3 linked regions of the Oryza sativa Japonica Group genome follow. The main gene of each other region encodes a partner of the protein of the gene in region 3 in a complex. Links are inferred from orthologs where the notes say so. Each region holds a gene or a part of one and is shown on either strand. Other genes may lie near its edges. The genes, in order: protein TIC 22, chloroplastic; protein TIC 20-v, chloroplastic; protein TIC 40, chloroplastic.

Region 1 (11,017 bases), on a different chromosome or scaffold from region 3:
GTACATATAGATTAACCAGGGATATCCAAATAGAGAGTAATTTTATGGTCTTGAAAAGATGAGATACCAAATTCTCTAGTTTAAATTTTGAATGTACACTGCTACCTCCTAAAGACAGTGAAAATTTCTCCGGAAAACTATTTTGATCTCTCGAGGGGATGTCTCCTCGTTTGTTTAAAATCCATCAAAATGGTTATGAAAAATTCTGAAAAAAATTGACAACACTTATATAACATATCTATACAGCTCCACAAAATCTTAGGTTCAAACTCAACTCGCACGCCGAGATTAAAAAAAGACAAATTCATCGTATAAATAGTAGTATTGTTCACATCTAAATTTGTCTTTTTTATTTCTCGATGTATAGATCAAATTTGAAATTGATTTTTGGTGGATAGATAGATATCACTATATTCTACATTGTCAAAAAAAAATTTCAAAATTTTCACAACTATTTATATTGAACTAGCATGGTAGCCCGCATAGATTGCGCGGCTAGCATCATTATATTTGTTTTATCATATAATAGCTTAAATATTTTCATATTTTATCACTAAAATATATTAAAAAATAGCAACACAATTTTGAATTTTGTATTGTATTGATAGTTATTAATTATTTTCTAATTTCTAATTTTACTTATTTTTTTAATTGTATTCCTATATGAACTCAGGCTCTTCTCTCATTCTTGCTTATTTTGAATTAAATTTTTCTTTCTATATGGACTATAAATTCTACTTTTAATTTTTTAATTTTTTTAAATCTAACTTCCAGTCAGTTCTAAATTCCTATATGAACCATATATTCTTCTTTCAGTATTCTTATTTTTAATTCAGAATTTCCATAATTATAAATTGTATTCCTACTCTATTTCCAATATTCCTTATTTTTTTTAATTCCAAAATAAATTATGTTCATATATGGGCTCTAGACTCTTCTCCCAATATTGCTTATTTTTTTATTTTTAAATTTTAATTTTAGTTTTTTTCTAAATTGTACTTCTATGTGGACTCTAAACTCTAATTTTATTTTATTTTCTTAATTTTGACTTTCAGTTTGTTGTAAATTCCTATATGGACTCTAGACTATTTTTTTCAATATACCTATTTTTTAATTCTGAATTCCCGTTGTTTCTAATTGTATTTCTATATGGACTCTAAACTCATCTTTTAATATTCTTTATTTTTTAATTCCGAATTTCAGTTTTTTCTAAATTATATTCTATATAGGCTATAGAATCTTCTTCCATTTTTTTTAGTTCTAATTTTAGTTATTTTAAAATTATATTTCAATAGGGACTCTGACTTCTAGTTTTAGTTTTCCTATTTTTTAATTCCGAATTTTAATTAGTTCTTAAGTATATACTTATATGGACTCTAGTCTCCTCTATCTATATTCCCTATTTTTAATTCTAAATTTCTGTTATTTTTAAATTGTACATATATGGACTTTACTTTTTTTCTTGATTAATGTGAGAATTTCTATGCCGTGAGAGCGAACGTGGATGCTCCTTTTTCTATTACTTTAATAAGTTAATAGATTTGAAAGAAAAAGGCAAACGAGGGGATATCCTCTCGCTGGATTAGAATCCACTCCCAATTTCTCCCAAATGAATGATGGTATTGCCCTACTAAGTACACAGAGACCTTCCAAACCGAAAAGCACACTCAACCCGTTGTTCCTACTCCTCTCGACAGGGCAGCGGCAGCCTCGCTGGCGCGGAGGCCATGGCCGGGGCCCGGCCCAGCGCGGAGCCGCGGATCACCAGGACGCTACTCGTAGACTTCTCTGTGCTGGCGCGGAATCGGCAGATCCACGATCGAGTAGAATGGAGTTTAATACTTATCGTTTAAATTTTATCAAGGAATAATAATATACTTCTCGTTTAAATTTAAACGAGTGAGATATTATACACATCTGTGGTGGATCGAGAAAATTTTGCCCGTTGACTTTCTAAGATGCAATTCGAAAAGATAAAGCGAACAAGTGTGCAATTAGCCCTCTTCAGTTTAGGAAGATAAATGAAAACGAGTAGCATTGGAAAAGAAAATACAGATCATTTCGTTAGAAACAAGTGCAAAACATGGATTGACAAGGCAAAATGATTACACGAACGTCCTTTTCGGTCCAGGTGGCTAAAGATAAGGGAAACTTGGATTTTATCCCCGAAAGACCACCGAACACACACTGATCATGGCAACGTTAATTATTGTTTCTTTTATGACTGTAATCTAGCACATAACAATAATTTTTCTGTGGAACAATAATTTTCCTGCAACAGAGATGATTTTGCGCCTCATACACTTCGCCAGCTTCAAGTGGAGCTTGTATTGATGTTTGAAGGTTGAAACAATGAAAAAACCACACATATTTTTTCACTTTAATCCTGAACTTTTTTGTTACAAGAACCACTAGCAAGAAAGTATTAAAAAGAAGCTCAGGCAGCAACTTGACACTATTGATTGGCTGGCCATCACAGCATTTGAAGTGAGCAAGTGTATGTGTGCTCAAACCCTGTGGTATCACTGCAAGAACAAAATTATGCTGATACCTCATTAATATGTTGGTTGAGGCTTTTCCCAGGGGGTATAAAGATCAAGTCATCCCAACCAGAATTCCTCTCATTCATCTGTAGAAACAAGTATGTTATAATGTTTAGTATTTCCTAAGTAAAAACAATCCAGAACGCATTTCTGTCATCCTACCTCCATTTTCTTCAAGACATCCTCCAAACTCCCAACCTAAAGAAACCACAATTTGAAGGCAACATCATCAGATCCTAGGAAAGCAATCAGATATTATAACGATAAAATCACATACCATGATTTGCTTAGATAAGGCAGATCCTCTAGAAGTTTTAGAAGCCTTTGTAAGTTCTCTTTCTATGTCCTCCTGAGCTAAGAAGGCGAAAATGGTGAAGACCTAAATCAGACCGGGTAAACTACATGAAAGAAATTGAAGCCTGGCAAACCTTTTGAAAATATATCGGACAGTAACGCTTCTTCTGTTTCTTAACAACCAATAGGTCTGACTGCACATTCAAATGGGACATTATTGCTATTGGAAAGAATAAATCACCAAATGCTGAATATATCACTTAATGTCTTAAATAGTCTGTACTTAGGATAGAACGCTATGATAATCAAAAACAGCTATCAGCCTGTCAAATTCACAAGTCCAGTGCTGCAAACAACTGAATAATTGGAAAATCATACATATAATGGCACAATATCTTGAAACAAAGTGTTCAAGCATCTCCGGAAGAAAGTTAAGCATTCTCTCCTGCCATGATGCTTTTATTCCACGTGATTTTTCATGTCATACTGCAATAAACATGTAACCAACTGCGTTGATGGACCTAAAGCTGTGTACTTCAGTTTTTTCCTTGATAAGAAAATCAGGGCTTCCCTTGTTCTATGACAATCGAAACATCAGAAGATCTGATATTCCATGAAAAGGTTTAGACTACTGCACGCCTAAACTTTCAATTGAAAATTTTTGACTATCCGTTTATCTTCTAGTCCTATTTTAGTACAACAAGTCGTGCCAATAAGATAAGGCTAAAGCTTCACAAAATGATGCACACATGTGACAAATAACGAGAAATTATGACAGGACAGTTCATGCATTTACATTTAATAAATAGGCATGGGCTAATAACTAACAGGAACAAGCAGATAGCTTCAGAACCTACCTATTAGTCCATGCACTTTGGTAATATTAAGTTCACGAGTAATTTATACTGAGTCAAGATATTAATCAGCAAATCAACTTTAATACATTTATTGTTAATATTCTAAAATACATTTAATAATCGCAAAGGGTATGTCTCAATGCTTTCCATAAAAGTATATTTTTCAGTAAATAATACAGACATGAGTATTACCTGGAAAACAGGAACACCATCAAAAGCAGTTAAGCCAGATTTTAACTGAAAAAACGAAGGATAATCGTCACTGGGCTGAAGTAAGTTTGTTAGCATTCTTACATTAGTGAAACAATGCATAAGATAGCAATAATCTACATACTATACACTGTTAAGACGTCAGCTCTGATATACTCATGATTCATGAGTGAAAAGGCATGAGTTGTACATTCCATGATATACTCTGAAGTCTAACCACTGAATGTGGACAGTCCACACCAAGAAACAGGAAAAACAATACAGATTATCTATATTTTAAAATGCCACCTTCCCATATGTTTTTTTTTCTTTTGCAAGGAAGGGACTTTCTCCTTATGAAATAGGCTGACATGTGACAGCACTCCATGTGTTCTGCGTGCATCTGTCTAGTGTATGCATATCATTTGTGCATTCTGGTGAAGGCAATGATTAGTGACAGTACAACTTCTCTACCAATAATATATACAAGGAACCAAGTCCATGTGTAAAGTCTTGAGTGGTGATACAGAAAATAGGTACACACATACCCAAACTGCAAAGATCTCGGACTGTTGGTAAATAGTTAAAAACATTAAATGGGAGTAAAATTGGTATATAAGGAGTCCATTGGAATTTTGGAAGATGCAATGGCTGCATTGATGCTTTTAAGGAGTAATGCTGTCAACCTGAGGAACTGAATTCCACTTTTCTAGTGAGATAGAATGATGGCCAGATGGGCGTACTAAACATATCCACTTATAGATAAGATGGAGCAAAGAGCCACAAATCCAGAGAAGAACTAACCTCCAACGCATTCTTAATTTGAAGAGGGTCAGGTAAGAACCGAAATGCAATACCTTCAGCCTTCAACATGTAAACCTGCATTTAGAAGGACGGCTTAAGGTATATTTACATTGTAAAACATAAAAAATAATCAGCATAGTTAAATGTAAGCAATATACTAGTTGTATTGAATGAAGTAGAAACGAGTGAAGTTGCAACGAGGCTAGCCTAAGCCCAAGAACCCTCAAGCATGAATATGCAAGAAAAGCATGGGTGTTGTAAGAAAAGATAGACTAAGCTAGGTAAAAGGGGCAGCACATAAGAAACGGCAGCTTTCCTTGATTTGCTCTTGGAAGAAATCCAGGTCCCACTTTGCTACTCGTTAATATGTCATTCAGTTACTAAATTATCATACAACTGTATGTCCCTATTTAACTCTTGCATAAACCCAAATGCTCCATAACTCTTCCTATGCAGAGTTGGTCCTAGAAGAGTGATGACAAAATTGATCACAAAATATCGATTTAATCCCACCTGATCAAGCGTAATCGGCACCACTTTTGCCCCTCTCCCTACCACCGGCTGCCGCATCCTCACCTAAACCACACAAACTCCCAAACCATTAGGGCGAAAAGAACAAATCAAACAGCAAAAGGCATAACAGATGGGAAGATGAGGATACGTGGGTGAGGAGAGCGTCGGCGTCCTCGGAGCGGAAGCAGAGGAGGCCGAGGGAGCGGAGGCCGGTGGCGGGGTCGGAGACGAGCACGAACTCGTTGCTGGAGTTGCAGACGGTGAAGACGGGGGTGCCGGTGAGCGCGCGCGCGACCTCGTCGGGCGCGAGCGCGAGGGAGAGGGAGGCGGAGGCGCCCTGCGGCCCCGGGGGCGCCGCCGACGCCGTCACAGCAGCGAGGGCTGGGCGCGGCGGCGCGGCGAAGCGGGACGCGAGGCGGGAGAGGTGGTGGTGGAGGAAGGAGGAGGCCGCGGCGAGGGGGTTGGGGGGCAGCGACGAGGAGGAGGAGGAGGAGGAGGGGGCCGACGGGTTGGACATCGGGGCGGCGGCGAGCGGGAGGGAGGAGGAGGAGGAGGAGGAGGAGGAGGAGTTCGGCGGCGGCGGCGGCATCGTGGTTGGCTGGTTGCTGCTGGGTTTTCGGCACGCGACGCGACGGACGACTTGGATGGCGGCGCGCGGAGGTGTCGTGTTGCTCGGCGTCGCCGAGGAGCGGGCCGCGGGCGGCGTGCGGATTCGGTCGAGCCGCACCGTCTGGCCTCGTGGAGTCGTGCTGCACTGCAACTGGTGTGGCCTTGGTTGGGTTTGGTCGGGGGGTTTTGCTTCGGCCAATCCATTATCATTTTTTTTTTCAGTGAAAATATGTTAAGCTCAATTATCAATTTTTTTCAGTGAAAATATGTTTAGTTACAACTTACAATATGGAGGATGAAATTAGCTTCTAAGAGCATCACCAATAGAATTGGAATTATTCGCCCCTAAATTTTTCAACTCCGCGCACGCTGTCTGGGGAAGAACAGAGATCCAAGGGTGAGTGGGTGACTACCGTCTCTGTACCTCTACGTATCATGTGCTGGCCAGCGCGGCTTGCCTTGCTTAGGTGGAGGTCCAATTGCTTGCCGCATTGGCACCTCATCGTCGTGGAGGCACAGGCGGCACGGGGAGGGAGCACAAAGGAAGAGGAGGGGACGTGGATCGGATCGAGCTACGACGTAACGTCAGGTGCGTGCACTGTCCATCTATCATCCAATGGCTGTTGTTTCTCTTGCCTTCAGTCCAAACAAATTAATCAGTCTCCTTCTTAAAAAGCCCAAATTAATCAGTCTACTTCTTGAAAAGCCCTCAGAAAAACAGAGATCTAAGGGTAAGTGGGTGACTACCGTCTCTCTACCTCTACACATCATGTGCTGGCCAGCGTGCAAAGGAAGAGGACGGGACGTGGATCGGATCGAGCTACAACGTAACATCATGTGCGTGCACTGTCCATCTACCATCCAACGGTTGTTGTTTTTCAGTCCAAACAAATTAATCAGTCTCCTTGAAAGCCCTCAGATCCAGCAAGTAGCTTTACAGATGAGGCAAATATGAGGACTGTTCAAATGAGTATGAACGCACGCACGCAAACCTTACCCCTATGAGCATCTTCGAAGACTGGGCCGGCAAATGCATCCTGGAGATTGACGAAATCACCACGGGCGCCTCGTTGTCGACGGGTACGTCGCCTACCACTGAAAGCACAAAGCCGTTAAATGCTGAAAAGTTTGCTTCCATGGGGAGTCAAACCCAGGACCTAAGGTGCTACTGAGACTCTTGTAACAACTATGCTACATGCGCTTTCGCAAACATACTTAGCCATTATTATCATTGACTCATTATGATATTATATAGCATCCTTATAAATACCAATACAATTAAAGTACTGCGGACTAATAAAGTGCCAAATCATTAAATTGTCCATTGTGGTGCCTAAATTATCTTGGCCCTATTAACTAATGATTAGTGTAAGTAACCATTTTCTCAATCATCGATTGCGTTTTAGATATTATCTTACTTTTTTAACCTCTAAAAATCTATACTAGTATAGCCTTTACCAAACACCAATTGAATTCCCCTTTGTTAGTAAGCTATCGATGGTCAGTTTAAATTGGGGCCTAAAGAGATCGACAAAGATCACACATAATTTCTCCAAATCCCGCAGTGATCGATGAAACGAGAGTAAAAATAGAGAGTGGAATCTCCGAGACCAAAATCAAGTCAACACAAAAGATGTGCAAAAACACAAACATACACAGCACAGCGCGCAATCTCACACAGTTACGTACGTACATCGATCCTGATCACGCACACTTGTCGATCACAGTATGAGAGAGAGGGAGGTTAATTAATTCAGTAGTAGGAGGCGCCGAGCTCGGCGATCTTGACGTTGAGGTGCCTCTGCGCGAAGGCGAAGAGCGTGGCGACCTCGTCGTCGCCGGCGACGGCGCCGTCGCGGTTGGCGTCGGCGGCGCGCACCCCGGCGCGCGCCTTCCACCACGCGAACCACAGGTTGAGGCTCCGCAGCGCGCGCTGCAGCTCGTCCCGGCTGATCCTCCCGTCGCCGTCCGCGTCGAACTGCCCCAGCCACGCCCTGAACTCCTCCACCGTCACCTCCCCTTGCGGCAGCGCCCTGTACCTCCTGAACGCCATCTTCGCTAGCTAGCTTAGCTGATTCGATCACTCGATCTGCTGATCAGTTGCTCTACTTAGATCGATCTCTTCAGCTAGCTAGCTACTATCTCAGTGTGTAGCTCGATCTGTCTGGGTGAGAGGCAAGTGTGAGCCAGCGTCGAACAATATATATAGGATCAGGGAGAGCTTGGCTTTCTTGATTTCTTCTATTGAGTTTTACGGCGCAACTATTTACCGCACGTTTCCCACGCACGCGCGTTTGGCAGGACGGTGGTGATGCATTTTTTTTATTATTTTGTTTTCGCGAACATGTAAAAGCTTTGCGTGTCAATCTATTACCTAATCCACTGGTCGATCGATGGCGTGATATATATCCGTGGTGAACTTTGGATACATTTTTGGGTGAAAAATGATTAAGATATTAAATGATACTCCATCCATATTTTAATGTATGACGTTGTTGACTTTTTAACCAACGTTTGATTACTCGTCTTATTCAAAAAATTTATGCAAATATAAAAATACTTATGTTATTTTTAAAGAACATTTGATGATAAATCAAGTCATAATAAAATAAATTATAATTACATAATTTTTTTTGAATAAGACGAAAGGTCAAACGTTTGTCAAAATGTCAACGGCGTCGTACATTAAAATACGGAGGGAGTAGATGACAAGTGGGGGAGCTTTGCTGCAGGAGGATGCGGTGCTTGGCTTTGGGATTTTTCAAGGGGAATAATAGGCGGTGGAGCTTAAAAGTGCAGCATTTTTGGTGTTTGATAAGGTGGTGGTGGCACATAGTCTAACCCCTGCAGTGTAAAGGTACAGGGCAGCAAAGAGTACAGAGATGATTGAGTTTCAAAGCATCTAGAGTGCTCACAAAATCCACATGGAATATTTGGGGGACTTGTTTGGGTTTTGGAAAGAAATGCTCGTGTCTTTGACAGAGTAGCAAGCACATTGATGGAGGTGGGCGATGATACTCCCTCTATCCCTAAAAAACCAACCTAGTACCGGATGTGACATATTCTAGTACAATGAATCTGGACATACATCTGTCCAGATTCGTTGTACTATAATATGTCTCATCCAATCCTAGATTCATTTTTTTGGGACGGAGGGAGTACAACGGAAAAATGGTGGACTTCGACGCGTTTTGGGATCTCGTGTTGGGACTGTTTCTTGGTGAGAGCGTGAGATGATGTTGTAGATGTGATAGTAGTGTTCTGTTGTATTCCCTCCATCTCAAAAAAACGAATCTAGTACTGGATGTCGGATATTGTAGTACGATGAATCTGGACAGAGGTATGTCCACGTTCGTTGTATTATGATGTGTCACATCCAGTACTAGGTTGGTTTTTTATGGGACGGAGGGAGTATACTCTCTTCCTGTGGTCTTGAGAGTGTGCCTATGCATCATGGCTATCACCTGATAATTATGTTATGGCACTGTGATATAATATTCCCTCCGTTTCATATTATAAAATTTTCTAGCATTGTCCACATTCATATATATGTCTAGATTTATTAACATCTATATGAATATGGATAATGCTAGAAAGTCTTATAATATGAAACGGAGAGAGTATAAATATTTCCCCTAAATATAGGAGTACTCAGTAATAAATTTGCCAACGCCGACCAGGTGTCTCGGATTCTAGCAACTCTTACGGTTATTTTTAGTTTAGTGCGCGTGTACATTTGTAATGGATAAGTGAAATATGTTGAAAATTAGGTCAGTATGACCTGCTGTATTGAGAATTAAACTTACAAGAAATGACAGATAATTCATATATACTTTTCTAAGATGAGCATGGAGAATAATAGGTGGTGGAGCTTAAAAGTTCACCATTTCATTAGTGATTGAGCTCTAACATTTCATTTGTCTTGGGAAAATTCATAGTAACCCTTTCTTTTCGTGGTAGCATAATCTTTCAGTTTAAAGCTGTTGCCCCCAACAAATTTCCCCTGGTGATCAATAACATAATGTATGTTCATCATGGTCTACAATTTGTTTACCAGTGAATCATCTCTGCTCTATCATTACGTGCTTTTCTGTAAAATATTCACCGGTGCAAGTGGTGGTAGAGGGAATCATAGGGTATTAGCAGAATAATAGTTATTTAAGCAAAGTTCTAGTATTATCTAAAAAGGTAAAGTTCTGGTACTACTCCCATTGAAGCCTCTAGTCCCCAAGATTCTTAATTTGAATGATGCAGAAATATCCATTTATTTATGAAGAATCAGATTCGACAAGAAAATTGCTGCACAAGGTGTGCTAAATAAGCAAGCGCCAGAATGTAAGACAAATGTAGTAATTTAGCAGTTACTGTGTCTAATATTTTCATGACATAGACTCAGACATGTGCTCCTTTAGGTCTTATTCGGTTAATTCCTATGAGGGAGGGATTGGAGGGGATTTATTCCACACCTATTGTGGTGTGGAATTATTTCCCCTCAATCCCCTCCAATCCTCTTCAATCCCCTCTAAACCGAACAAGGCCTTATGGGAGAGCTAATGGGTGGGTGATCGCACACGGCGATCGGGCGCACCCGTCCCTCTAACACGATGCGCCTCCCCCATTGCTCCCCTTCCTACTGCACCATGAATTTCAAAACATTTTAAAAAACAAATTAGAAAAAATAAAAGAAAATAAAAAGTTTAATACCCTTAAAAATATATTCATGTGTATAGACTTTATACTTATAAATATATCCAGTAAATTTCGTACGTATAAACTTTATGCATAGAAATATTCTATGTAAAAAAAATTTGAATCCGAATTTGAATTGGAATCGGATATATAAACTTTTGACCTATAAATCCATAATCTGAATCGGACATATAAACTTTCAGCGTATAATTAAACTTTAAGTACGTAAACTTTAGGTGTATATGCTTTTAGTATACAAACTTTAGGTATAAGAATTTTAGGTGTATATACTTTAGGTGTATAAACTTTGGGTATACAAACGTTAGGTGTATAAACTTTATATGTGTAAACTTGAGGTGTACAAACGGTGTATAAACAACTAAAATAGGAAAGTAATACGGTACCAAAAAAAGAAGCACCGTGAAGGCGACCGATCGCGGGGTAGCTTTTTCGCTCCTTTATACTGGATTGTAGTTAAACCATTTTTAAAAAAAATCTGGATTTTTTATTTTCATTTGC
Region 2 (10,327 bases), on a different chromosome or scaffold from region 3:
TCCAGTGCTCACAAGATAAAGTTCTGCTAGAATCGTACTAACAGTTTTGTTTATTGAATCCTTTTTACCCTAATACAATAACTGCTTCAGCAGCTTGATTGTCTGGTTGGTCTATCTGAACTACCCTGCATGAGAGGCCAAGTGTAAATCTATGAAAAATGATAGGGGCGGCCAAGGCCTTTCAATTCCCGGTGCCTCACGTGCCGGCACCCTTGGCCATGAAGGCGACAACTCACCCCGAAAGCCCCAAACTCACATGCTTCTCCCCTAAAAAACAGATCCATGTTTCATAATCCAACCGAAAAGGCAAACGCTGCCCAAATCCTCAACGTGCTCCTCCATCTCGGGCTCTCGGCCTTAGCTAAGCCAGCTACTGCTGATACCTGTTACTCCGCTTTGTAATTTTGTTACTGCAGAGACATGATGCAGCGAACAGAGCAGGTGCGACGTACTGTACTGGCACTGTAGCAGCATGGTAATAACTTGGCGGTGGCTATGGCGTTGGATCGATGCGTTGGCCACGTGATCGATGCTCTCAGATCTGAGTGACGATCGAGCACTGCGGGAGGATATCTTAATCGGGAGTTAATTTAATCGCGGGCCGGAGTTGTTTACTGATCCCTAAACGGATTCCTCAGCTTTGCAGTTCTGCAGAGGGAATGTTCTGATCAGAGCAGAACAGAGGAGAGGACAGGAGAGGCACGTCCACCGATCACGCACTGCCTGCCTGCGCTGTCAATGATGGGATCAAATCATTTCGATCGGGATCGATCTAATCTAAAGAACTACTAATCCGGCCGGCATGCACAAGGTAACTACTCGCCATTAGCCCTTGGACGTTTTCTTATGTCTCGGAGCGAAACGGCCACGAAGCTTCGTGGGTTATGCGGGACACATGCTCCTTGTCGTTTTTTGGGCGCAACGACTTTGAGAGCTTAAGCTAAAGCTCTTCTTCTATCTCCTAATCAATTTCAAATCCTAATTGTCGGATGCTCACGCCGAGTCGGTTCACGAGAACCCTAACCTGCAACGCCGGTCACTCTCACTTCCCGGCTCAGATTTGCCACACAGATGATTTGACAGTCTCGCCAATTCGCCGTACGTGTTTCGCTTTCGAGCTAGCCGCGTCGTCGGGTTCATGCACCGCCCCACGCATCGACCGATCGATCGATCGGTCGCGTACCGACGGGGACACGGGGTCCATCCACGTAGATCGTAGACGCATCCCCACACACCGCGGGGCACGTGCACCACGGCACGTACTACGCGCGACCAATCGATCCAGGCAATTACGGGTGAGTGTGACATGGCCGTGCCCCGTGCACCGGTCCACGAACGCAGCAACACAACGCCCGGTGGTCGCGCGCGCGGGCCGGGATCCCGATCGATCTCCCGTCCGTTTCGGCGAGCGCGTGGCATGTCGCGCACGGTAGATCGATCGATCGATTCGACGCGCGCGCGCCTTCGGTTGGAGGCTGTAAAGGCGGCCCCCGTCCGCTGGCGCTGGGTGCGGCGGCGCTGGAAATGCACCCGCGGCATGAGTCCGTGCCACTGCCTGCCGGTGGCGCGCGCGCGCGTGGCGGCGGCGAGGCAAGCGTAGCTAGCAAACTGCTCGGGAAGGGCAGAAGGCCAGGTGTCGCGTGCGCCGCCGTCGGCGTGCATGCGCGCGCAAAGGGCGGGGGTGGAAACGGCAGGAAAGCGCGAGGCCCCCACCCCGCAACACCGCCTCGCGCCACCGGCGGAGCACGTGAGCTGCTTATAGCTAGCTAAGTAGCCTCTCCTTTTCCTTCTTTCGCTTCTACCTGCTGCCTCGTTTATCCGAAGTTGGCATTTGCTCTCCTCGGTTAAAAGTTGATGTATCCGCTGTCCCGCAATTAGCGGTAACCGATCGGTAGCTTTGCTGTCTCGTCGGTCATCAAAAGGTTGGCCATCACAGATATATCGATCAAAACTACCGTGCGCAATACTTAATTACTTTGCCGACGTACATATGTAGCTTTAACTAAACAACTACCCCTATCTTATATTATGAAACTTCTGCAGGTGACATGCAATGCTTTCGCATCTGCCGGGAAACTATTCTAATTTCTCGAGGGGATGTTCTCTTGTTTGCTTAAAAACCATCTAAACGGTTATGAAAAATTCTGGAAAAATTTGACAACATCCATACAACACATATATGCAACTCAACTAAATCTTAAGTCCAAACTCAACTCACACGTCGAGATATAAAAAAGACAAATTCAGCCTATGAATAGTAGCGTACTGTTTATATCTAAATTTGTCTTTTTTGTTTCTCGATGTGTAGATCGAATTTGAACATGAATTTTGGTGGACTTGTAGGCATCATTATACTCTATATTGTCATTTTTTTTTTAGAATTTTTTGCAACTATTTGCATCAAATTTGAAAGAAAAAGGTATACGGGGGATATCCCCTCGAGGGATTAGAATCCACTCCCTGTATAGTATGATGATGCAAAGGGAGACGTGGATGTGAGAGAGTATAATCTAACCATGAAACGTTTGTTATATCAAAGGTACAAAGTATAATACTACCAGCCAGACAGGCAGGGAGGCGGCAGGCAGCAGGGCTTACCTCCCTAGCTTATTTGTTATATCATTATCAGTCTCCTATCCTTCTCGACTCTCTCTTAGCCGACTATAATAAGGTCCGAGTGGACAACCGAATTCGCTACATTCCATCAGTGTACTGCCCAGCGGCAAGATCCAGGCGCCATCTTTCTGCTGCAACGGCAGGCCGCTCGGCTTGGCAGCAGCGTCGACAGATCTCCAGTGTCCTGTGTCCCGGGCGCCAATGCAGCTTTTCCAAGGTATCAAAGAGAATTACACTTCACCCTAGTGTCCTTTCCTTCCTTCCTCCAATTCCACAGCGTCTTCTCTCTTCACCGCATGATGCTCATCAGCTCATGGTACATTGCCGTGTGTTGTGTTGTGCTTGTCGGTGATTCGCAGGAGAGGAGCCGGCTCATGACTTCCTCTCGCTCCGCGCCGGCGGCGGCTCGTCGTCGCCGCCGTTCCAGCACCGGGAGGAGCAGCATTCCAGCCATTCATCGCGAGGTGAGCTGTCTGCACCGCCCTCTCCTTTGCCTTCTCAACTGCAAGTGCCATGGTGTGCAAGTTAGACAGCAATGCACCAACTTGCTAACCCATGTTACCCATGTCAAGTGCAGGATACGGTATGGAGATCCGCAGATCACTGAGGCCACTGGACCTGGCCAAGCAGCGCGGCCGCAGCAGCGGCAATGGCACGGCGGCGGGGAGTGCCGTCGACGGCGCGTCGCCGGCAGGTTCGGACTCGGAGGAGCACGTGCTACCGGGCGGCGTCGGGACGTTCAGCATCAGGCACGCGTCCGGTACTCCGTCGAGAGAAGAGGCCGGTAGCCATGGCGGCGTCAGGAGGAGTGCGTTCGCATTTGCACCTGCGCTTCATGGCGCCAGGATGGAGAATGCACATGAAACAGGAGGAAGATCTGGGAGTAGGGCTCACCGTGCGCCGTCGACGATGTGGCAAGATTCTGCCATTGATCAAAGATCCATAGGCCAGACACCATATGAAGGTTAGTACCGCAGTTGTATTGTTGATTCTCTAGTCTGTCACTTCAATTCAGGCACTGATGGATTTGATATATACATGTGCACTCAGCAACAAGAGCAGAGGGAAGAAGTAGCGCCAGCAGCGCCGATCAGGGACCCAGCACTCCGAGATCAAAGCATTCAGCAACTGAGCAGAGAAGGAGGACCAAGATAAATGACAGGCAAGCTAGTAGAGGTCAAACACCATTTTGAATTATTTTCTGCAGAGCAGGAACAAACCAACCATGAAGACGTAGCTAGATAGCTCAACAAGATATCATATTAGCAGCATTTAATTCCAAGACAATTTCATATAAGTATATGGTGCAAGAAATGTGTTCTAAAATGCAATTCTTCATGCTCTCCTTCAGGCTTGAAATACTTCGTGAACTCCTGCCACACACTGATCAGAAGAGAGACAAAGCTTCTTTCCTTTCGGAGGTAAACAGAATATCAATTTTGGCACTGTAGTCAGCAGGCTATATTGCAATTTCTCCCTTGTGAAGCATTTTGTTTGCAGGTTATTGAATACATAAGGTTTTTGCAAGAGAAAGTCCAAAAGTATGAGGAAGCCGATCCAGAAAGGAATCACGAGGATTCCAAATCCATGCCATGGGTACTATCATAGCCATGTTAGCATGTTCATGACATAATTGTGCAACAGTATTCACCCTCTATTTTTTTTTCTTGGTAGGCAAAAGTCTACTATAGATCATGCTGGAGAAACACAAAGGTAATTCCGTAAAATAAAAACAGCAACTGAAAGCGAATGCACAATTCATCATAATCATATACCAATGATATGTACCCATCCTTGTTTCTTGTTCATGGTCTCACAGAACACCAGTCAAGTCCAGGGGGAAGATTTGTCACCATCCACACAGGACATGAACAACGAACAGTACGGTCCCAAGCACATATCGGCAGCACAACCTGCTCTCTTCAACACACAGAGTGTAACCAGTACAACCACCAGTTCCTCCCACATGGCAACAGGCACACCACAAAATTTGGAAAGTAAGTCCATTTCTTATCACCTTTCAACAGTCAGAATTCTTGTAATTAAGAACTAGATCCACTAACTTTAATGTCTTTTAAACGCAGAGAACAGCACACCCAGCAATCAGCCACCATGGCTGAGCATGTCAACAATGCGCCAAGAGTCTGAACCAGGCAACAAAATGCCGAACAAGCATGAGAAACAGACCCTTCACGATGAAAACCATAGTATTTCTAGCGCTTACTCTCAAGGGTCTGTTCCTTAACCATTTGTTACTTCAAGACTAAAGTTAGCACAATATGTAACTAACAGGATACTACTTCAATTTGCAACAGATTATTCAACAGATTGACAGAAGCTCTTAAAAAGTCAGGACTAGATCCATCTCAAGCTAATATAGCTGTAGAGATCAACCTGGCCAAACGAGCAAGAGATAATACTAGTGACAACTCAAAGGTATAGAGCTTTACAAAGTTGATTTATTCATGATGTTTGAACATATAGATCGTCTGCTTAATAATTATTTTGTACCTTTGTCCTGACTTCACATCACAGATCAATGAAGATGAAGAGCCCATCCAAATAACCAAGAGGCGGTGCAATAAAAGCTAGAACTTTTTCTCCAAACTAGAAAATTCAGACATCATCAAGTTCAGACAATAACTTGGTAGCAGCAACCACAATCCCCAATTGATGCAATTATTTTATTTATATTGCAACAACAATTAACTAACCTAAGCATCCATTCATATACCATTGAAGCTCCTTCAGGGGAGGTCTTGAGGACACTCCCCAATTTCTCATTCATCATCTGTAAATGTAGTCCAGAATTCCATATTCTATAGCGAGTATATGTATTGCTATCTCTAAAAATTCCCAATTCAACTCATTCGTTCATACACTTGATTGTAAATTTTGTAATGCCATTGTACCAACCTTCCGTAACTCCATTCATTAAATTGGTTACTACAGCTGTAAATAATCACTGTACTAAACTGAACTTGTGAATTTGCGATCTACTAACATCAATGAGGCATCGAGATGGATGTGTATATCATTTTCCTTTGTTCCTTTTCACCAGCAAGATTTGACAAAAGCTCATCACATCACCTGGCGCTCGGCTGCATCTGCGACGATTGGCAGCCGCGGCGTCTTCCCTAGCAGGCACGCGCCCCCGCCGTAGACTAGGCAGACGAGCAGGAAGAGGAACACGGTGCTCTCCATACTCTGGAAGAGCTCGAAGCCGATCCCGCCACCGGTGGAGGGCGCGAAGGACTGCACGAGGAGGTCGGGGAAGATGAGCAGCACGTCGAGCGCGACGGCCTGCATGGCGTTGAAGCGGACGAAGCGGGAGAAGGCCTGCTGGTTGCGCACGACGGCGAAGTAGAGGGTGAGGAAGAGGAGGAAGGGCGTGAGCGGGGAGGAGCGGAAGAGGCGCGCGGCCGGCGCGAGCGGGCTGAGCAGGGTGCTGAAGAGCGGGAACTGCGCGAGGAGGAAGCGGCCGTGGTGCACGCCGTCGAGGAACGGGTAGAGGTAGGCGACGGCGGCCACCAGGCGGTCGGGCGCCTCCACGGCGCCGCTGTTGTCGTTGTCGTTGTTCGGGTTGGAGGCGCGCGGCGGCGGCGCGGGCAGGCGGGCGCGCGTGGCCCATACCCCGAGCGCGGTCTCGCCCGCGTGGCCGAGGAGCAAGGGGTGGCGCGCCTGGGAGCGTAGCGCTGGCACCGGCGCCGCGCGGCGGAGCGGGCGCGGGGACGAGAGGAGGAGGAGCGAAACGGCGGATGCCATGGAGAAGGGATTTGGTTGGGGGAGCAGCGCGGCGCGGCGCGGCGCGGCGGGTGGGAGCTGAGATTTTTGCGGGTGCAGTGCCGTGAGGTGGGGGAGTTTGGCTGGTTGGGGGGCAGTGGCGCCGCGCGGCTGCGGCCACCGGGGCGAAGGCGAAGCGGGGTTGGGAGCGTGGAGATTTTTCCAGATTTCGGTGGGATGTGGGGCATGTGGCCGAGTGGGAGACGAGGAGATTGGTTGGTGGTGCCTGGTGCGGGAGGGCAACGGCGAGGGCGCCGCGGCAGGCAGGAAGAGCATTAGATGGGCCAAAGCTTGCGGCGCCGTGCTGTTCACTGGGCCGAAAGGATCAGGCGTACTGTTTGGGCCTCGTCTGAGACGCGTTTTGCCGGTTTTCCTGCGTGGGCTACCAGGCTTTCGTCGTACCATATGCATCGCGATTTCGTAATGGGCTAAGGCGTTGTACGCCTCTCAAGCTGAACTCCGCGCGCGCGGCCCGTAATGCCCGTAGTGTGTCGTTCAGCCGTTGGCACTTGACAATTGGCTGGCAGCGATCTGACACACACAAGGAAATGGAGTGATTTTCGTTGTACGAACTGTAATAATGTGTGATTTTCGTTTAATGGATTTGGATGGTCCTGTAAAAGAAAGGGGAGAACAGCTGCAGCCTGCAGCAGCGTGGCACGTTAATCTTCCCTCCGTTCCACACCCGAGAGTTACCTGACTGACTGCTTCACTAGCACAAAAGCAGACTACAAATCTACCAGCATGGTTTACTAATTACACGAGCTATGCAGCTTGCGGATCTACCATTGCCTCATACTGCCATATGAAAATTCATCAATCTCATCCCCATTGCCTCCTACTGGCACGTTTCCCGTCGAATGGAGCACTAGTAAAATTAAATTAAACTCGATCCCAAGATGGCTCTTGCGTCAACGTTAATCCTCCAATCCATCGCACAAAACCAGGCGCATATGCACGAGCTCGAACGTAGCAGTCTAGCAGAGCGATCGCCTAGGGATCGGTTGCACGTCGAGTCCCTCGCGCGCGTTGACGAGTAGAGATCGGCAACGAAGTGGAGACGACGAGGCACTCAACCCCGTGCACTGTGGGATGGGCTCGGCTCGGCTCGGCCGCGCGCTCCGTGCCAGATTCGCGCGCATCTCTAGCGGCTATTCTCGCGGTGGTTCACTGCATTTCGAGCTGAGTGCTCCAACGATCGATGAGACGATAACGAGTAGGACAAGACCACTTAACTGCTGGGTCGCTCTTGGATCAGTGCTAATCCTATCTTAATCGCCACTGAAAACAAGATGCACTGACTCGCACGTTAACAAGTAGAGGCATGTATTACTTCGATACACCACCACAGCACAGCCGTGGTAAAAAAAATGATACATCACCGTGCATTCTGGTGTTCTATAATACACAATCAGAGCATATATACACCCAACAACCAGCAGCATCTGTTCAGACTGCTGAAACAGTTGGTAGTACTACATGGTAAAACTTCAGGAGACGGAGAGAAATTCAAGATGCAAGAGCAGTAATGTCTGCACAAAGTATGAAAAACCTGATATATAACAATTTCCTTCATGAACCATGATCGGTAACGTTCTGTTGAACTAACTTATCCACTAACCCGCCCCCATCTATACATGAATATCTTCTCTTAATCGGCGTAATTAGGAAACCTAACATCCCCAATTCCCCAACATGTAACGTCTATGTACCAACTACATTTGAGTTAAGTAGTCACAAGCTCACAATTGTATCATCCTTTCTTTCAGCTTCCATCCAAACTCCCTTGTCAATGGCCCAACCTGAAGTTCTGAACTGAAAATGCCGAGCCATTTGAGTCAGCTCGGAAGAAACAAGTTCAGCTATGCTGTAAACGTGTAATGGTAATAAGTATACTCGCGCAATTGCGCTATTAAAAATATCATGATGTCCGTAAAAGATTGGGATCTCGCAAGCACTCTTGAGGGTTAGCATAGAAGTAGTCCTCTTCCTTCGGTTTGTCATGAATCACTGTCCTTTTTGAAGCTGCTCCCATTCGGTTTGCGTGGACAGACTTGATTAGTGAAGAGAATTCATCCCACAGCATAGAACCACTATTATACTGGTCGACCAGCTCAACAATGAGTTTTCGATCCAATAAGATTGTTTTCTTAAAACCCATGAACCTGTAACAGAAAAATAATCAATCAGCTTTACCTCTAAAGAAAAGAAATTGTTTAACATTGCATAAAGTCCTCCCATTCGGTTTACATTCTATGACTATTAGAATGTCCAGGTTCAAAAGGACAATGTAGGAATATAGTACTGTACTTAGAATGCAGAGGTGTGATCAAGTACAAAATATACCTGCGGTGTCCCTCAACAACTTTAGCCATATTACCATCATATGTTGGAACAAATATATCACTTTCCAGTGATACCAAGTAATCCAGAGCTGCCATTTGTGACGAATGGTTCTGGAAGAACATGAGATCGGAAGGTTGCAAAAGTGTCTCCTTTCTCACCTAGAGCATCAATTATAAGAACACACATCAGCAAAATGGAAAAAGAGATCTGCAGTCTGCAGAGTAATGATACCAGTGATGCCATCAAAGATACATGTGCACAATTTGGTCCATACCACGTTGGGATACGCTGAAGTAAGAGCAGCCATTCTACGCTTTCCACCATATATTTCTCCAGCTGCAATGTATATCTGCATACTTCTGTCAATGTCCAAGGCTCTGAGGACAAGAGCAATCTCCTCTGGTGTCAAAGGGCAAAGGCCATCTTTTCTTTTTGCATAGGAGTTTATTACTTTCTCTTTCCACCATGGATAAGCATATCTGAGATTATGAGTAACTCAGCTGTATTATGTGACGGCTAAAAAAAAACAATATGCAAGAATGAAATGATCTCGAATTGATAGTTTGAAAACCAGCAATTTTTTACCTCATTCTTGTGAGCTCATCTGCCTCTTCACGAGTGCAGCCTTCAGTACAGCCAGAGAAAGCCAGCATATCCATTTCATATCGTAAATGAAGGACCAAAAAGGGGCCATTTTGGCGAAGCAATCTAATCACTCTCCTGCCTAACTCTTCAATATCGGAAGTGAACTTCAGTGAACCGAAGTTAACTCGGCAACGCAACTTTTGGACATCGAGCGGTAGTCCGTTATTTGCTAGCCTAGCATCAGTTCTGTTCAGATGAAGAACCTTGTGCTTCCGAATTAAAGGAAGTATCTGTACAAAGTGAATTTAAATTCAATACCCTTTTTTTCACTCAAAGTAGAATTGAAGGGCAAATAGTGAAATAGACATCTAACCTTGTTACGGTAATAAGAGATATCAGACCAGCTAATAGGTGGCATTGAGTGGAACATTCCAAGTTCCACTCTTCGCTTTACCCTTGGTGGCAACTCTCTAAGAATACGAACCTCATCTCTCAGAGATGTTATAAAGTGTTCAACATCAAATATATCTTGGAACTCACTAAAAGGAAAATTAAAGAAAGTTTGATTAAGTATATGGTCATAAATTAGTATACAGGTCAGAAAGATGCAGGCAAACGTAAAATAATACCAAAACAGAAAATGCACCTTGGATCATTCCAAAATGATGTCTTATCCAACTCGGGCACTATTAGAGTCACATTCAAGTATCTTGCAATGACAACCATATCACATATCTGGGTAAACATGAAATAGCACGTTTTGTTAAATGCTAAACATAATTGAGTGGTGTAATTTAACTAAATGATAAAATGTTAAATGCTTACAGCTGCTCGCATTTGGTTGAGTCCACCATTGCATGAAACCATCAGATAACCGTTGTTCCTATAAATTCCTAAGCAGAAAATGGAAACAGATTAGGAAAGCAAAAAAGCAGGACAACTACTAGCATGCAAGCATACTATATACATCGAGCAGAATTATACCACATTACTTTTT
Region 3 (10,712 bases):
CGCTGTAATCTTTGATCTACACGCGGTAGACGCGTAGAATTAACAGGGATGTAGAGAAGAACTCCGTGTTCTTGATTTCGATAGATGAACTTTCGTGCAATTATGAGATACAGACCGGCCTAATCCGTGTACATTCTTGTACTAGTTTTTGTGCATTTTTCGTGCAAGCCACAGGGGTTGAGGTGTCAATTGCATTCTTGTACTAGTTTTTTCTGTCTCTGAAAAAGTTTGCAGTTGAGGAAACGAAACCCTGCATCTTTCCATCTTTCTTCTAATCTGTGTTACCTTACAAACATTTCACTAACCTTGCAGTGTTCTTTTATGAATTTGTGTTGGTGATAAGATAATTAAGCTGGTGCAGGAGACTGTTCAGACAATATTGTCTTGATGTTAGGTTAGCTCAGCTGAATGCTTCTTGTTACGTGAGGACATAAAGATTTTGAGAACACAAGTGTGCAACAATCTGAACACCGAATTGCTGCGTGTTGCGCCTTTTCCAGAGACCTTTCCTGAATTACAATTTTCCTCGTGACAGTGTTGTGGCCTTTTCAATGCGAATGATGCAGATCAGTCTGCGCTTTTGGCCTGAGAATCAGTTTTTAGTTTTACCTGGTCATTTTTTTGGGGGGAAAGGTTCTTCAGAGCCTTTCTTTACAAAGATTCCTAGAGCAAAGACAAAGTGCTGTACTGTAACTATCTGGAAAAAATTGCTGTAATATATTTGTGGTGGGGATCGTGTTCAAACATGAGAACCAGGTCAACTAGTAGTTGCATCTGCATTTTTACTGAAGGCCACAGCCTTTTTTTTTTTCACCTGTACTTTTAGTTTTCCATAATATGTGTGATAAATTTCTCGTGTTTTCGCCAGCGATAAGCCTTTCTTGCGAAATCATAGGCTTTTTAGATTTTGATCAATATCAAATTCTGAATTCTATATTTCTATCCGTGTAAATGATGAAGAGAAGAGAAGAAAAAAAAAACATGTATTGGTTTCATAAAATGAACATCACCTTTTCTTCAAAAATTGGCAGTGTGCGAGCGACAAAGCACTATTCAGAGTGCAGACTTTTCTGTATCTTCAGCTTGAAGTTTAATTTGTTAATACATCCATGTCGTTTCGTTGACTATGTTTGTCTGAATCAAGAACTCATTAACATACTGCATGTTGCCGAATGCTCCAACATAGCTATGATTTCAGAAAGGTATCCGTCATTGAAATTTATGTAAATACTGAGGCCGATGCAGCACTGACCAGACCCAGATGTTTATTTTACTTTGAACATGAAAACAACTTTACATATTTTTCGAAGTCGTAAAGCGGCAGACTGTACAACTTCAAGTCTTCGATTGCGAACGTGACAAAAAAAAAAGCAGTGGGACATCAATCTTGCGATGTACTACCCTTTTTTTCGTACCAATAATCATTAACAGAATCACATTTAAAAAGCAACAAAGGGGAGATCAGAGAGTGCTTATCTCTGAGAGTTGGTGGGTTTCCTGAATGGAACAGCTGAACTGCAAACAAACCTTGCACCCTCATTTGCTAAGAGAAAAAAACAAACACCTGTAGAGCTAGAGCTAATGGGTCTTGAAAATTACAGTGACGTCTTAGAATTTACGAAAACAACATATGAGAACAACTGGCCCTAGTGATAATAAAGCAATCCAATTGACTAACAGAATCACTTTCTCCCCACTTAAAAAACAAAAGATTGTTTGTTTCCTCCCTCTATATTCGGTTTCATGCGGAAGCATTATTGGTGTAGTGGTAGAATGGAAAATGCATGGCACAACCTATCAGATTTTAAACGTTACTCCATCCGTCCGAAAATATAATAATTTCTCCACCTACATTTTTTTCTCAACCAATCATAATATTCCACCATTCATATTCTCCACCAACTCTCTATTTTCAACCGATCACAATATTTTTACCATTTAACTTTACCCACTTTGTTAATACTCACGTTAAGCCTAAAACTCTATTTTGGGGACGGATGTAGTAATATCATAATTATGACCACGTGTATTCTTAGTTGCTGCAGTGGCTGGAGGTTATATATACTTTCTAAAAAGAAAAAATTGTTTCACCTCTCCAGTGCAGCCTACTCAGGCTACTCTTTTGAAGTGAAGTCGCCTCTTTTCTCACCGTTTGTGCCGGTGCTCGGTAGCCGCATTTGAGGATTTTGTCACAACAACAACAAAAAATAAATAAAAAGTCCGGACGGATTGGCTGGCGCGCCATTGCTGCGATTACGAACGACCCGTTGGGCGGCGCGCGGGGTCCCTGCGACGTATGCCGCGAGTCAAAACGCTGATCGCTCGTCTGTCTGAGCGAGTAGTAACGACGCAGCCTCAGGCTCAGCACACACAACTTGTCTGACGACTGACGGGGGCGACTGGTGTTGTGGATGGTGTGAGACCGTGTGACCTCATCTCGAATCCGCCTGCACTGCAGGCTGCGTCCCTGCGTGCGGCAATTTTGCGCTAGTTATACCGCTGCTGGTGCTCAGGTGTGGTGGTGGTGGTGGTATCTGACGGAGGATGGTGTTACGTACGTAGACGGGACGGGAGGGCGGGGGGGGGGGGGGGGGGGGGGGGGGGGGACGGTGGCGCCGGTGTGCGTGGCTGGCTGGCTGGCTGCACCACCGAAGGCCACCGACCGACCTCCCCCGCCACGCACACGCACGCGTCGTCTACTACCTGCGGCTACGAGACGTCGAGACCCGGACAAAGAAGAAGAGAAAATGCGTCGTGTGCGCGCGTGGTGAGCCGTGACGCAGGTGCTCCGCCCGTGTTTGAGGCCGGAGCGCAGCGGTGGCCTTCGGCTCTCACGCCTCTCCATCAAAACAAAACGGCGTGAAGCAAACTCAAAGCAGCAAAGAACCTGTCTTGGATAATGGAAATGGAATTGTTGATCGCATCGTTTGCCGGGAGAGCCCCTCATATGGGAATCCAAACAGAGCACTAATGGTAGATCCACCGGATCTCTCTGCTCGTGATCAGCTGAAAGTAGGCAGTTTGTCCTGGTTACCTCACTGGTAGACAATGGTATCCTGGAACCTAAAACATACCTCTATCACTATGGTATGATCATGAGCTCAGTAGCCTCAAGAACTTGAATTATTAGCCTCCAAATTATATGTAGAGTAACACAAGCACCAATCCAACCAAGTTGCTTTGGAAGATAGTAAACTTGTTCGCTTGCATTGCAATGCTAACACAGATATAATACATAATATTATCAAAATTGAGGTGATATGAACTATCTCTGCATCTTCACAACCTACCACAAACCTCGTAACGTCAAAGCACAAGCTACACAGTTGTACGGGGGCGCGGGGATGTAAATAAAAAAAATCCTTAACTTCGCTTCGTTGCCTGCTCTGGCTTGAGGCAGGGTCACTACCAAACCAAACACTAGGCGATATGATGATGTACATTGGCAACTCAAAAAACCCTGACAGGAAAGCTTTTACATCTTGTCCGTAATGACTGAACAGATGAACTTCGTTTCCTTTTACTCAGCCGATCAACAGATGTTACCGCAGCCACTTGGAAGAGATGATAGGGCAACAAAAATCAAAACTGCAATCTCACGGCGACGATCCACTAGCCATTAATTTGAGGGAAGATTTGTGATATCTTCATAAAAACATCCATGACCTAAAAGCAGACTCATCAAATTAGAAAGAGAAGCATGATGCAATCCATCTCAAGTCTTTGAGTAAATTGATAAAGGTCCAATAGATGACCGGAATACACAGAAAACATACCTCTTTGTCGTTCTGGTATTTTACAATATTGAGCGGGTTTTGTGAGCACTGCATCAAGATGATTCTTTGTTAGAAGATGCAACAGTTTATTCAGTAATGAAATGAATTTGTACAGAAACTTACATCCATGATCGCTGTTTGAATCTTTGGGTTCTGGAATGCAACAGCAACTTCTGGGTTTGCCATTATTTTCGATACTACCTCCTCTGGAGTCATGCCAACTTGCGCTGAGCAAACACAAAATAGATTGATGTCATATATGCTCATTTGAATTTGAATAACTTTTTACAAAATGCGATGGAACAATTTTGCAATAGATGAATTGTTGCAAACAATAGAAAACTAGTTCAGCACAATGGAATCACAATCCAGTTTAATTATCTCCACCCACCTACCAAGTATGCAAGGACATAATAATGGGAGCAGGTGCGAAAAACTCTGCTAGGCGTATCTAGCACCAGAAAGTGACAAAGGGGGTAAAAGAACATATGCTCCATATGACTTCACTATAGCCCAAAAAGAAAGAAAGGAAGACAGAAAAGAAATAAAAAACAGGTTCGCATTAGGGGGGAATAGCACATATCATCGAATTGCTCACTGGGATAGGGTACTAAAGCATAGCATGGAAGCTAAACAGAATTCCAGTGTTCCAATCAGGAACTACTAGGTAAATGTGGAAATGTTTAATTCACTCACCAAACTGCTGCCTGACTTCTGGACTGCTAAGGTCAAAATTCTTCAAGTGATCGAGCATTCGGTTATCCCATTGATCAGGAGATCCACCCATGTTGTTTCTGTTTAGAGAAAAACATCAGCATAGTCTAAGGAAAGCCAGATAAGATTTGTATATTAGTTACATCATGCAATAATACCGCAAGTCTGCAAGGGACATAATAGACTGTAGGTAATGATCAGTGGCACTAACACAACTCAAGTTGGCATAACCCATCAAATACAAGGCACAATTCTACAGGCCAGTCCACCACAATTCTAAAAGCCGAGATGTAAAAGGCTTAAGAGTTAGTTTAGGTTATGGTGTTTTATTTGAGTCTAGCAGGGTCTGCTGCAGCTCGAGGATGAGCTGCTCGAAAAGAGGTGAGTAATGTCATGGGCTTTGGGCCGGGAATCCTAGGCCCATTGGATAGAGTCAGGGTTTGTTAGGATTAGGTTAAGTAGTCCTCCATCTATATAAGGAGGGGATCCTATCCCAGATCAATTAGGCATTAGATCAATATTTATCTTAGTGCCCATCGGCCCTGCCTTCTCAGTGCGACGGAGAGCGTCGCGCCGTTTAGGTTCAGGGTCATTCCCTGTTTCTTCCTCTATTATAATCCAGTTCATTTTCCTTCACCCCGTTTCATCCCAAATAATCCTAGCACATGACAACTTCATTGTTCAAGACAAATTAAAAGTGACCTAGCAACAACTGGCTTGGAGGGAAAATATTCAAGGAAGAGTGTATTACAGCATATCCTGTAGTTGTTGGCGGTACATTGGATTCTGCAGCATCCCTGTAACATAAGATTTCCAGACATCAGTCCTCACTATATCAGAACATATATTTTATGTAATATCGGAGTGTTAAAAAGTAAGTAGGAGCATACACTTGAATGAATCAGGGTTCCTCATCTCCTCAGGCAAATAGCTGCAACACTTGAAGAAATTAGCAACCTTCAAAATTCTTAGGTACTTCAAAATGTGAGCTCTTAATTCACAGTTATTATTCCACGTTTTACAAGAACTGAAGACTTCAGAAATGAAACAATTAGTTATTCCATGCAGAATTAACTTCATGTTATACTGTTGTGGCACTGTCCTCAAAGATGTCAAAGATATCTAACATCAGTAAAAGGTGTATAACCCTGTATTCATGTAGACAAAATTCTGACTTATATTGGTCCCAAACTTACGGGTAAACCATCTTCTGCACGGCTGGATCTTCCATCATTTTCTCAATTGTATCAACGGACAACATAGGCCCTGAATTGCCTACATACATAATCAGTTTAGGACATTTATCAACAGCAGATAACTAAAAATCCTTAAACAGAAACACAAATAAAAAAACTAAATGTGAATAATAAAAATGTGCTAATGATAATAGTACTTACTAGATTCAGTTGTCCCGCTAGCAGAACCTTCATTCATCTTAAAAGCAGTTCCATTTGTTGGAGCCTATGAAGATCATTGAAAATGATTAGTTGAATTGTACTTGGAGCCTATTACAAAGCTTCTTCATGCAACTTACTTTTTGCTCAGTATCCTCCATAGTTTCACTCTGTTTACTCTCACTTTTTACATCCACTGTCTCCAGTGAAGATTGAAGTTCCTTTTGCTGCAACTCTTCAGGAGAAACGTCAACAAAGGCTGCAAACATTTTGTTACAATAACATGAGATATGCATGACAAAAGTATGAAGAAAACATAAGATTAGACACTAATCACAAGCTCCATCCCCTATTCACTGATAGTTGGAGAAGAATTCTCAGAGATAAACGGCCAATACCAAATTTCTTCTTTGGCTGTTCAGCCACATCAGCCTCTTCCAAAGTTCCAGTTGCTTCCACTTTAGTAGCTGAAACATCGACAGTTGCAGATTGAGGAGAGGTATCTTTCCTTGGTTGTGAGTATGGGTAACTGCTAGGAGCTGCAGGAGCTGCCTGTGGTGGCATGGCAAATGGGAAAGGCGAGTTTGAGCCAAAAGTGTTTGGCGGTGCCTGGGTCATCATTGACTTGAATGCTTGTTGCATTGCATATTTCTGCATCAGAATTAGCAATGTGTCAAAACTGGCAAGCAAGGGAGAGTTATACGATTTTAAGTTCCAACAAGACATTATACAGATCAAACCTACAAAGAGAACATTGTATTAATTAAATCAGTGCAACAATGGATACATCACGATATACTTTCGAGAAAAGAAGTGGTGCAACAATGTTAACTCTCTAGTAATTAAAAGAACTAGTGGAAGTGATGATGCTGTATCATCCTCACTTTGGATCTTTTATGGGTGAATTTATGTATACATGTGTGTTACTTATAGGTTTTTTTTGTAAAATATTGCACTATTTTACATGCCAATATTTTGAAGCTGGGTGAGGTGATATGATCATATTTTACATGCAGAATTTACATTAGAGGACTTCCTTTAGTCTTTTATATATAAAAAAATTTGATCTTAGTGAGTACTCCCTCCGGCTCCATAATTCTTGATGTTTTGGACAATGACACGGTCTTCAAAATATATCTTTGACTATGTTTTTCTATTATAATATATAATAAATATATATATTTTTACTTTTATTATTGTACTTTATAAGACAAATCTAAATATGCTGTTCTAGTACCTTTAAACTAAATATTTTTAAAGTTATTGGTAGTCAAAGTTATAAAAATTTGACCTCAACCTTGTCCAAAACGTCAAGAATTATGGAATCGGAGGGAGTACACCAAATTGTTTTGACATCCATCACAATGCATGGATATTATGCTATTTTATCAATATTGAAAAGAACTAGAAATTATGTGATAAGAAAATGAATTGTCTAACAAAACTACAATACTCCCTCTGTACTCGTAAAGGAAGTCGTTCTGGACAGCGACACGGTCTCCAAAACACAACTTTGACTTCTTGTTTCTATAAAAATATTTATTGAAAAGTGATATATGTATACTTTTATGAAAGTATTTTTCAAGACAAATCTATTCATATAATTTTTACATTTTCAAACTCAACAACTTGAGAGTTATTCATGATTTATATTCCCAAGGTTTGACTTAAACATTGTCCTAACATCTTCCTTTACGAGTACGGAGGGAGTACACTGCAACAGTACCACCTTTGCTAGAACATATGCCATGCATTGCTTCAAACTATTAAGAACTAGAAAGGAAGGCATGGCTCACATGTGGGTATGTAGGTTCATCACAAAAAAAGCTCACTAAAATACCTCTCTTGCTTATGTACTAGTATGCAGAGGTGACCATGGGTCATTCTCAAGATCAAGTATGCAATTGATAGGGTACATACCATTTGAAGATGTAGAAACAGAGGAAAGTTGTGAACTCACCTTTACCATCGAAGAGACCTGATATAACAGCCAACACCAAGTATTAAAATACAACTCTAAGAACATTTAATCACAAAAAAGCATTACAGGTAATTGTATTCACACCATAGAAAATGCTGCGGACAATGCTACACCAACTCCAATCCAGAAAACAGGCGAACCGCTGCACAAAGGATTTACATGTCATCATGCAGTGTAAGTTGAGAAAATTGTAGCCAGACAAAAGAAGGGAAACTGGCGCACATGTATGACGATGGGGGTGGCATGGGAGGTAGGGAACCCGTTCCAGTTGACATATTCTCACTGTTGGTCGAAGACGACATGCTTGCAAATCCATTTGTCTTTAATCCCTCGAAACCTGTTGTTACAACTAAACAATCAGAATAATGGAGATCCTCCGGCAGCATAAGATTAAAATGGGGGAAATCCTAAGCTGATTGGGATTGTCTATTCGTCGGCTATTACTACAAACAAGGACAGATATGCTGACCATTTTGTACTCATCATTTGCCACACTACCAATACTGGATAAGGTGGCCATTACTAACTCACCAACTGCCACCATACTACGAAAATAAAGACAGTATTCCATCACGGATGCATGACTTAAGGTCACTAAATTCGCAAGGATAACACACTCAATTCCACTAACGAAGCCCATGGCACAGCGATGGATCCAGCTGATACACAGAGTATAATAAAATTCCTGACAATCCCACAAAAAAAAACACTATAGCACGGACACTTGAAGCGAGCGCATACGAGAGCTTTCAGCGCGCACCTACCCAAAGAGCGCATCCGGCTCGCATCTAACGAACAAACCTAAAACGGAAGCACACCCACACAGAAGCACACCACCCCCCTCACCGTTCCCGGACCCGCGGGCCGCGGCGGCGGCGGCGGCGACGACGACGAGCTTGGACCTCCCAGCTCCCCTCCGCCCGGACGCCGCAGCCGTCGCCGGGAGAGTCTGCGAGGAGGGGCGGCGGCGGCGGGCCGCGGAGAGGGGAGGCAGGCGGGGAGAAGCGGAGCAGGAGGAGGCGAGGACCAGGCTCTCCATGCCGCCTGCTGCGCGCGCGGGGGGAGGGAAAACCCTAGCTTAGCTCTACTGCTGCTGCTACTACAACTACCACCCCCTCGCCCCTCCCCACTCGCGCTAGGGTTTTGGGTGGGTGGGTGCGCGCGTGAGTCGACGAGAGACCTCGGGCTCGTGTTGTGTAGGCTACGTTCCCCCTTTTACCCCTGCGGTGAGTGATAGGAAGCTGAAACGGAGGGGAGTCATCGCCTTCCGCTGCGTGGGGCTAGTATCCATCGCTATCGGGACATTCAGAGTTTCAGACTGTCAGCGGCTCATTTCAGGCACTAATTGCAGACAGCAACATTTAACCACTGATGAAAAAAAATAATACTACTACTAATTAAGATGCGATGTTTCAAAATTCGAATATCTCAAAATGCAATTCGGGCCAGTTCAAAAAATGAAAAGGGAAATCCAGTAAAGTCGAATAAACAACTTTTATGCCTTGTTATTAACTGACAAAGTTCAATGTTTTGGTTCTGAATTTGAGAGAAGAGAGAAAATTAAAGTAATCCCGTTCACCATGGAATGGAGTGTAACTAGTAGTAGTAATTTGTGCCATTGCAGAAATCATATCGCGTTCAATCACTCAAGTTACAAAAGTACAACGGTATACATGAATGAGAACATATGCATACAACCTTCAGTTCACTGTGCTAAGTTATTTCCCATCTTACAGCAGAACAAATGTTCAGAAAAGCCGAACGAGATATTCTAACGTTGAAGGGTTGCCTGCACATATATTTTGATCAAGCAAGGTAGAGCATCATGCAGATCAAACCAAGGGGATTATCTCCTGGAAATGCTAGAAGGGTGAAACCATCCATCATTTTACAGTCTTCCCGAAACCTCAAACAAGAATATGATGACCTTAGCCTATAAGAAAAAACTCGGTGAGTATCTCTGCCTCGTACTTCATATCTGCTGCGCTTTGGCTTTCTTCCGCGCCAGAGCTCTTTCTCTGGCAGCAGCAAGTGCATCAGCATTTCTCTTATAGTGTTCATCCGTGATCTGTGCTGGTTGAGTATTCTGTGGATTCTGGGTCTGAGGAGCTGGTTGGGTATTTTCTGGTGTCTGGGTCTGAGGAGCATCCAAGGAAACATCTGCATTTTTCTCGGTAGATCTAGCAGCAGCTGAATCCCTTGATTGAGTTGTAGCAGGTTCTTCCACACTTCTACTTTCATTGGCCGTCTCTGCTCCTTCACCGGAGTCCCTTTTGTGCTTAGGAGAGCGATCGGATACTTCAGCACCAACCTTGCTAGTTTTAGCATCTTGAACTTTCTCGTCTAACTTTTCAGGTTTAGCATGTTTTGTATTGTCATGTGTCTGTGCACCGAAAGCAACATTCTTACTAAGACCAAAGTAAAAATCACTCAAGTCTTTCTTCTTAGTAACCTGTACAAAAATAGACGAAGGAAACGTAATCAGTTACAGTGAGCCAAAAGAATTTTTTGTTGTGAACCATTAGAAGTAATTTTATCTTAGCAAATACTCCCTCTATCCCATAATATAAGGCGCGGTCAAAGTTGGCACGGTCTTCAAAACGAATGTTTAGCTTATAATTTCTCATATACCATAAGGTTTGTAGTAACAAAATTATAACCATATGAATGTAAATTTAAATCTCGATCTAATGGTATAATTTTTAACAAATAAAATTCATTTTATATTATACTAAGTGTTGGTCAAATGTTTGAAATGTTGAAACTTCAAATGCATGCGCGCCTTATATTATGAGATGGAGGGAGTATCTGATTTGGAGATAAACAAAACTATTGCATTAATTTGGT

Evidence for each region.
Region 1: protein TIC 40, chloroplastic (region 3) and protein TIC 22, chloroplastic share a complex: the UniProt entries of both Arabidopsis thaliana proteins name them as parts of the tic complex. The link is inferred for Oryza sativa Japonica Group from reciprocal best matches to the Arabidopsis thaliana genes TIC40 and Tic22-IV.
Region 2: protein TIC 40, chloroplastic (region 3) and protein TIC 20-v, chloroplastic share a complex: the UniProt entries of both Arabidopsis thaliana proteins name them as parts of the tic complex. The link is inferred for Oryza sativa Japonica Group from reciprocal best matches to the Arabidopsis thaliana genes TIC40 and Tic20-V.

Annotation. Positions count from the first base shown.
Region 1 is NC_089040.1:5,938,285-5,949,301, forward strand, and holds protein TIC 22, chloroplastic, read right to left. Parts: upstream 5,968-11,017; 5' UTR 5,790-5,967; coding exon 5,349-5,789; intron 5,264-5,348; coding exon 5,201-5,263; intron 4,763-5,200; coding exon 4,688-4,762; intron 3,932-4,687; coding exon 3,887-3,931; intron 3,032-3,886; coding exon 2,972-3,031; intron 2,923-2,971; coding exon of another isoform or gene 2,893-2,922; coding exon 2,821-2,892; intron 2,742-2,820; coding exon 2,706-2,741; intron 2,630-2,705; coding exon 2,540-2,629; 3' UTR 2,195-2,539; downstream 1-2,194. Other genes in the region: uncharacterized protein, read right to left, coding at 7,563-7,862. UniProt on the Arabidopsis thaliana protein: Involved in protein precursor import into chloroplasts. Imported into the intermembrane space via the Toc translocon. May be involved in the import pathway used by proteins without a cleavable N-terminal pre-sequence.
Region 2 is NC_089036.1:30,719,822-30,730,148, reverse strand, and holds protein TIC 20-v, chloroplastic, read right to left. Parts: upstream 6,605-10,327; 5' UTR 6,382-6,604; coding exon 5,698-6,381; 3' UTR 5,287-5,697; downstream 1-5,286. Other genes in the region: transcription factor BIM2, read left to right, coding at 2,818-2,833, 2,976-3,080, 3,194-3,580, 3,667-3,778, 3,968-4,037, 4,117-4,212, 4,291-4,329, 4,436-4,613 and 3 more; rhamnogalacturonan I rhamnosyltransferase 1, read right to left, coding at 8,321-8,564, 8,746-8,903, 9,020-9,224, 9,331-9,620, 9,704-9,869, 9,977-10,065, 10,156-10,223. UniProt on the Arabidopsis thaliana protein: May be involved in protein precursor import into chloroplasts. Not redundant with TIC20-I, TIC20-II or TIC20-IV.
Region 3 is NC_089038.1:22,283,868-22,294,579, forward strand, and holds protein TIC 40, chloroplastic, read right to left. Parts: upstream 8,984-10,712; 5' UTR 8,905-8,983; coding exon 8,712-8,904; intron 8,203-8,711; coding exon 8,088-8,202; intron 8,008-8,087; coding exon 7,950-8,007; intron 7,863-7,949; coding exon 7,845-7,862; intron 6,536-7,844; coding exon 6,283-6,535; intron 6,144-6,282; coding exon 6,025-6,143; intron 5,952-6,024; coding exon 5,888-5,951; intron 5,766-5,887; coding exon 5,687-5,765; intron 5,422-5,686; coding exon 5,381-5,421; intron 5,288-5,380; coding exon 5,242-5,287; intron 4,571-5,241; coding exon 4,473-4,570; intron 4,004-4,472; coding exon 3,900-4,003; intron 3,825-3,899; coding exon 3,777-3,824; intron 3,667-3,776; coding exon 3,613-3,666; 3' UTR 3,189-3,612; downstream 1-3,188. Other genes in the region: uncharacterized protein, read right to left, coding at 9,838-10,317. UniProt on the Arabidopsis thaliana protein: Involved in protein precursor import into chloroplasts. Part of the motor complex consisting of a co-chaperone (TIC40) and a chaperone (HSP93) associated with the import channel (TIC110).